Alligator mississippiensis: one gene and its partner. The protein of the gene in region 2 interacts with the protein of the main gene of each other region in a biochemical or structural test. Links are inferred from orthologs where the notes say so. Each region holds a gene or a part of one and is shown on either strand. Other genes may lie near its edges.

Region 1 (3,747 bases), on a different chromosome or scaffold from region 2:
ATGACCAGCAGATCTCAGACTGGTCTGATTTTTCTTACTACAAAAGCAACATGCAGCCCTAAGCAAAGGTGAGAGGAGCTGGCACAGATGGCAGTGACACTTGTTGCAGGAAAGGGGAAGTACATTGGGGAAGGAGTGAAAGCCAGGTCTGCATCCTCTCCAGAAGGATGTACCTGACTGTCTCCCAAATGGTGCACAGCTGTGGGGCATTTCTGGGGCCATCTCTCCTCATAGTGTCTCTGGCTGAAGCTGCTGCCTGCAGTGCTAAGCTTGGGCTAGCCAGGAAGCTGCCAGCTCTGCATTCTTCTGCAGACCTCACACCGGTTCATCCCATCTCTGCCACCTTTGGGTTACTGCAATGCGATTTATATAGGGAAGCTTTTGAAGGAAGCCCCAAAGCTGCAGTCAGTGCAACTCAGTGCTGCTGCCTCCTCGAGTAGAATGGGCATTTTTTTTAAGCCTGCCCTCAAGGGAAAATTTTAAACTGGTCAGTACTGCCTTGACTTACCCTAGGAGCAGGTTGCCCTACGAAGACTGCTCGGATCAGCTGGGAGCTGGATCCTAGGGCTGGATGCCCTAGGGCTTGGATATACTGCCTTTGGCAGCTTGCAGGGGCAGATCCTAGCAAGCTTGGAGGCATTGTGCAAAGCAGTTAGGCTTAACTCTTGCCAGTCTTCTAACAGCATCAAGGCATGTCTGCTGCTCTCTGGTCCCAATCCAGCAAAGTAGTTGGGTACATGTTTAGTTTTAAGCACCTAGCTAACCTCACTGCATCTTGCAAGGTTGAGCCTTAATTTTGTACCGAACCCTAGGCTGATATAGCAATACAGCCTGTGTATAAATATAACCTCTTAGCGCTGGATGCTGTTCTGAATGAGCACACAGCATCTCTGTTTAAAGACAGTGCAAGGTCCATGGAAGACACGTGCCAGCAGCACCCCACCCCAGCCCACATATTCACATGCTGCCCATGTAAATGCAAACTGACAGCTTCACTGTTCTCTGCTTTAATGCACTTGTGATTCAGTGAGAGATTTCCAAGTCTCTTTTCTTCCCTGGGAAAGTGGCAGCCACCCCTTTCAGAAGTCCCTCTTGGAGACTTGCCTCTACTTCTGCTCAGAGCAGGTGTTTGTGCCGAGGAGGCAGGCACTCCACAGCTGGATGGCTCTCAGCATCCCTCTGAAGGAATTGGAAGGTCTCAGGATTTCAGGGTTCCCCAAGCAGAATGCAACCCCTCTCTTGTGAAGAGTTAAAGCTGACAGAGGGGGCATAATGGTGAGGTGCCCCAGACAGATTTCTGCTTGTAAATCTATGCCAGATGGAGTAGCTGCCCTAAAGAGAACAGGTGACACTGCATCCTACCCCACTAACACTAATAGCCTAATATTACAAAGCAGAGTCCTCACCTCCATGCTGGCCAGTTCTTTGGCAGGGCTGAGGCTGTAGATGGGGTTGGCTCGGTTGGACTGGAACTGGAAGAGCAGCAGCAACAGGAGCCCGTAGAGAAATGAACCTTTTGTGTCCATCCTGCTGGGTTGGCTTGGAATAGGAGCAAGTTTGAGCTTCTTCTGAGAGGTCCCTTCTGGTCTCGATGGCTCACTCCCTCGTTCTGTTTGCTCCTCTTTCTGGCTGCTCTTTTATACTCTTTGGGTGTGATCCCTGCTTCCTAGGTTATCGGGGGGTTTATCGGGGGTACATTCCAGTCCCACTGCAGGCATGCAGCTCTGTCAAAAGAAGATTCCCTTTATTAGCTGTCATTAGGAGGTGGCTGCTACTGAGGAATGTCTGTCACAAGTCAATGATTTCATGTCGCTCTTTCCCCACCCTCCCCTCCTTGATACCAGGCACTGAGATTACATAGTCCAGCTAGAAATTCTTAGCAATTTTGTTACAAGAGACCCCCATAGTCTGATTCACAGGGATAGGAAAACAACTTTGAGATGGCTCTAGATTCCACTTAATAAGGAGCTTTTGGGAAGGAAATGCCTTATATAGAGAAAGAAGAGACCAAAGACACCAGCTTCAGGGAGGGTAGAAACAGAGGAAGGTAAACTTCCTTCTAGGAGATCAAGTGTCACACAGGCTTCCCTGTTATATGGAAAACCTCCAGCTGCTGCATGCTGCGGCATGTACTGAAAATCTCCGGTTCTGGGCTCTTTTCTTCTCCATGGTTTTAAAGGCAATCGTGCTACACTACACGGTCTTTACATTACTTGCTTGTACACTGCCTACAACAGCAGGGTCCCGATCTGAAGTGCTTCAGTGCTATTGTAATACTAATAACTCTTGGAGGGACACTTTAGGGTTGCTGAGCCTTTCCAGAATTACTTTATTAGCAACGGCAGCTGCCATGCCTTTGAGAATTGGGACGCTAGTCACACTTAAGTCGATAGGAGTTTTCCATAAGCATGGACTTCAGGGTCTGACTGTAAGTAACTTCAAGGAAATGTAGAGTAAATCACATTCAGGGGAGACTGCTCCTGAGACATGTGCAATGAATTCGGCGCACGGTTGCATCGGCTTGAAAGTGGATGTTTGTGGAGTGAGATTTGAGTGAAGTTTTTCAAAATTTGGTTTAAGAGAATGTGTGTATGTCTGGGGGAGTTAGGGTTAGAGGGGGGTGTACGCAAATGCATGTATTCAGTGCGAGAACAAATAGGTTCTGTTTTGTTAGAGTTCACTATTCTAGCATTCAGCTGATTTTAGAAGTCAGAATTGTGATTGAGTTATGCTGAATCTGTATATTCCTAAATTATCTGCACTTACTTTTCAACTCTATATGAGTAAAAGAAGAGGTAGTAACAGTGTCTCAGTTTGCAAGAGTATTTTAAACTATGAAATATACAATGTACTTTGCATCTTGCATGACTGGCTTCCTGTGTTAGAGATGGAGGTAAAGAGTAACTCTGTGCTGGCACTGCATTTCCTAGTCTGAGTGAATCTCCAGCATTTTAAATGAGGAAAAGTCAGAGCTTGAAAAGAATTTCCTGAAATGTTTATTAAAAAGGATATGCTGTTTGTCATTCGCATACAGTGTGTGTGACAATATAAACACTGTGCGTATGCATGCACAAATCCCCAACTTGAATAGGGCATTATGAAGGCTGTAAGTCAAACGCTCAAAGGTTAGAAAATGCCAGAATGAAGCTTTCCTCTGCATCCTCAATTTAGCTCTCTGTACGTAGGTGCTATGATAGCCTCTTAATTACACTATCGTACCCTATTTTTTTTTCACTGGACCTCTGCCTCTGTCAGTGCACAGGGTGGGTGAACAGCTCTTGGCTATTTTGCCCTCTCCTTCTGATTGGGGTGACGCTGTTTTATTTATTGCATGCTATTCAAATCCTTCACCGAAGGCAGAATAATTAGCTGCTTTGTGGGCTTTGCTGTGTCACTGGGCTCTGTAGGTTTTGAATGCTTCATGGACTTCCATGTGTCTGTCTTCACAACACCTCTATGCAAAGAGCTCTTATTATCCCTATTCTGAAGATGGGGACTAAGGGGCATGGAGATGATGGTCCAAAATGTACACGCACACACTTTTGGGGTGGGGAAATGACTAATATGAGGCACCTAGAACCTGATTTCTCAGCATGCTACTCCCTGTTCAGACACACATGGCAGTGGACTTCATGGGCATCGGACTGTCCCGTACTCTTGAAAATCAGATATCAGGGTCTTCATCTAGGTCTTGACCCAGAAAGCGAGGAACACTAATAATGACCACATCTGAAAAGTTTAGGGTAA
Region 2 (3,747 bases):
CATGGGGAGGGAGGACAGGCCCCAGCACCAGGAGCCTCGAGCAGCTCGTGGCAGAAAGCAGGACCAGGCAGCTGGCCGGGACTGGTGCCTGTGCTTGGCCAGTGCAGCAAACAGCACTGGGGCCACGGGCTGTCTCCTCCTACCCCGTGCGGCTTGGTCTCACCTGGGCCAGGTGCCAGGACTCCTGGAGTGGGAATCTCCGCCCCCGGGGGTCAGGACCCGATCCAGCGGCTCTGTTCCCAGCAGACCCGTGCTGGGCTCATGCAGGGCCCCTACGTGGGGGTGACTGCAGGGACCTGCTGCTCTACACTACGGTGCACAGCATGGCAGGGACACGGCCGGGCTGCAGCATCCCCTGCCTGTGCCTGATGGCACCTGCCAGCCCCACTAGGATGGTGCACACTCGATGGCACACACCAGCTCCCCAGGCCCACTGGCCTGTGCCAGAGCAGGCATCGAGGGATAGAAATAACCCCCGGGCCTGTGCCACATGTGCCCCCTGAACTGCAGAGTAGGTCCCCCAATGCCCCATGACACACGGCCCCTCTTCCACCCCAGCTCCCCAGCCCCTGCCCCCAGCTCCCCTGGCCTCCTGCCTGCTCCCTGCCCACCATTGCCACCCTGTCCCACACGTCTGGGTCATGGGAACCGTGTGCCACCGGGCCTGTCACGCTGCCCTGGCCCAGCCCAGAACCCCGACACCGGGACGTGTGGCTGCGGCAGGGCCTAGCAGGCAGACGGCGCTGGGGCTCACTGGCGTCTGCTGCTGCTGGTTTTACGAGGGGCCAGCTTTTATGAGGGGCCGGCCGGCACGCCATGCAGCCAGCCCCGCTCCAGCGCCAGCCCCGGCCCCACGGGACCACAGGGCCTGCCCAGGAATGAGAGGAATGCTGCGCGGCGCTCGCGAGGCGGCCGCGCGCAGGTCGGCTGGCGGCTGCGCGGCCCAGGCTGCTGGGCACTGGCCCCAGCTCCGGCCCCCACCAGAGGCTCCTGCTCCCCTGGGGGTCCCAGTGCTTCCTCCCGCGGCAGCAGAGGAAAGGCGGCCAGCAGCAGCCTCCAGCCGGGAGCACCCCAGGCTCTGCCCTGCGGACTCATGGCTCTGCCAGGGAGGGTCAGGCTGGGCTAAGCCCCCAGGGCGGTGCCTGCGGTGGCTCTGGGACTGAACCAGGTCTCCCCGGCGGGGCCGGCGCGGCCCCAGTCCCGGGTGGAAGGAGCAGCCGGAGATCCCCCGCTCGCGCAGGAGCCAAGGGACCGCGGCGTGCAGCTGGCCTCAGCCCCAGGCACCCGCCGCGGACCCGCGTGCCCCGGCCCCGGTGGCACGGGTGGCTCCTGCCCGCGCGCCGCAGCCAGCAGCGGGGACTTGTCCGGCGCGGGCCCCCCGCGAGGGGCGGGGAGGGAGCCCCGCACGCACGCATGGGGCAGCGGCCGGCTCCTCCCCGGGGCGCGGGCGGGCGGGCGGGGCGGAGCGGAGCGGGGCCGGGGCGGGCCCGGGGCGGGGCGGGGGCGGGCGGCAGCCGGCGAAGGCAGCGCAGTCCGGGCCGGGAGCCCAGCCCGCGCCGAGCCCGCTCTGCCCGGCCCCATGGGCGCCCCGCGCCGGCCGCCGCCGCCGCCGCTGCTGGGGCTGGTGCTGGTGCCGGTGCTGGCCGCGCTGTGCGGGGCGGGCCGGGCGCAGCCCGACGGCGCGAACCGCAGCCTGCCCCAGCCCCAGCCCCAGCCCCTGCCCTTGACCCTGACCCTGGGCGCCGTGCTGCCCGAGCGCAACCTGAGCTACGCGTGGGCCTGGCCGCGCGTGGGCCCGGCCGTGAGGCTGGCGCTGGAGGCGCTGCGCCGCGCCGAGCTGCTGCCGCGGGCGCTGACCGTGCGCACCCGCTTCCTCAGCTCCGAGCTGGACGGCATCTGCTCCGAGGACGTGGCGCCGCTGCAGGCCGTGGACCTGCGGCTCTACCACGACCCCGACGTGCTGCTGGGCCCGGGCTGCGTGTACCCCGCGGCCGCCGTGGGCCGCTTCGCCGCGCACTGGCGCCTGCCGCTCGTCACGGCCGGGGCGGTGGCCGCGGGCTTCGGGCAGAAGCGGCTCCAGTACCGCACCACGGTGCGCACCGGCCCGTCCGCGCCGCAGCTCGGCGCCTTCGCGGCGCGGCTCCACGGCGCCTTCAACTGGAGCGCGCGCGCCGCGCTGCTCTACGCCGACCGCAAGACCGACGACCGGCCCTACTACTTCACCATCGAGGGCGTGTACCAGGCGCTGCAGGACGGCGCCAGCCTGGCCGTGCGCTACCACCTCTACGCGCCCGACGACGGCGGCGCCCACAGCGCCGTCGCCTTCATCAAGACCAGCGCCCGCGGTGAGCGCGCGGGGCCGGGGCCGGGGCCGGGGCCGGGGCGGGGGGCGCAAGCGCGACGTCGCGGGGCGCGGACGGTGCGTGCGCGGGGCCCTGGTCGCGGCGCGGCGCCGTGCCGGGCTGAGCCCGCCCCCCGCCCCTGCCTCCCAGCTGGCAGCGCCGGGGGCTCCTGGGACGGGGCGCACAGGCCGGGCCGGGCCGGGCCGAGGGGAGCCGGCAGCTGCCGCGCTGATGGGGCAGGCAGGGATCGGGCCCCGCGGGAGGACCCGCCTGGGCTGCTCCATTATTGATGAGCCGCGCATCGATCCAGCCAGCTGCTGCTCGCTAATGCATCCGGTGCTGTGTCATTAGGGAGGGCCCAGGGCCCCGGAGCCAGCGTGGCTGGTAGAGCCTGGGGGCTGGGCTGTGGGGGGCGGCTGCCCATCCTGGGGCGGGGGCCGGGGCTGGCCACAGGGAGTTGGATGCCCCTGAGCCCCCGCCTCGCCCCACAACACGGGAGCCAAGGCGCCACGGAGGGTCCTGGCGCCAGGCCCGTGCCCCCCAGAGCCGCAGTGCTTGGTCCATGGCAGCCATGTCCTCGCCTGGGGTCTCCGGCCAGCCACGGGCGCTGACACCAGGGCCTTCAGAGCCTGGAGTCCAGGTGGGAGTTGGAAAAGCAGGAAGCTTTCCCCCTCCTCCTCTCCAGGCTGTGGGTGGAGGGGGCAGCTAAGATCCGCTGGCTCTAAAACCAAGTTGGCCCTGGTGACCAGGCACAGCCTGTTTGCTTGGTTGACCGGGGGCCAAGTAAACAGCCGGTCCGCGTTTAGTAAATCAGTTTTAAATGTACGCCATCTCCTGCCCAGCTCCCAGCTGCTCCCCAGCCTGCCCGTGCTGAGCACAAAGCGGTGCTGGGCACAGGGCAGGGACAAGTGTCCTAGTGCATCCCCTGGGCTCGTGGTCCCCAGCCCCCATGTCGGTTTGGATGGGACTGATCCTGCCTCGGGCAGGGGTTGGGCTAGACATATGCCACCCTGGGCTCTGGGGTCCTGTGCTTCTGCAACGTGAGAGCCTGGAAGCACAAACACGGCGCAAGGTTGACACTGCTGGTCTCGGCCAGGGCTTCCCACTTGGTGTCAGTCCTGAATCGTTCTCCATGGCAGGTGCCAAGATCCATCGCTGCCCTCTGGGGCGGGGGCCTGCTATGGTGCGTGGGGATGCTGGGGGCCGTGTGCCATGCCAAAGGCTCAGGCCAGGGTCCAGACACAGTAGGCAGGGTGTTGGTAATCACAGTTGTGGTCAGCTGGAGTCTCAGTCCAGTGGCTAGAGCCGCTGGGAGCCCGGGAGCGCAGAGCAGGGCAGCCAGAGGCAAGCCCAAGATGCCAGGCCAAGGTCGGGGCTGAGGGTCTGTCACCAGGACATCGCACCC

Evidence for each region.
Region 1: the proteins of atrial natriuretic peptide receptor 2 (region 2) and NPPA form a complex in vitro, tested with the Homo sapiens proteins (3 studies listed by BioGRID). The link is inferred for Alligator mississippiensis from reciprocal best matches to the Homo sapiens genes NPR2 and NPPA.

What each region holds. Positions count from the first base shown.
Region 1 is NC_081836.1:12,470,424-12,474,170, forward strand, and holds the start of NPPA (natriuretic peptides A), read right to left. Parts: upstream 2,880-3,747; 5' UTR 1,527-2,879; coding exon 1,407-1,526; intron 1-1,406.
Region 2 is NC_081826.1:303,063,943-303,067,689, forward strand, and holds the start of atrial natriuretic peptide receptor 2, read left to right. Parts: upstream 1-1,515; 5' UTR 1,516-1,579; coding exon 1,580-2,345; intron 2,346-3,747. UniProt on the Homo sapiens protein: Receptor for the C-type natriuretic peptide NPPC/CNP hormone. Has guanylate cyclase activity upon binding of its ligand. May play a role in the regulation of skeletal growth.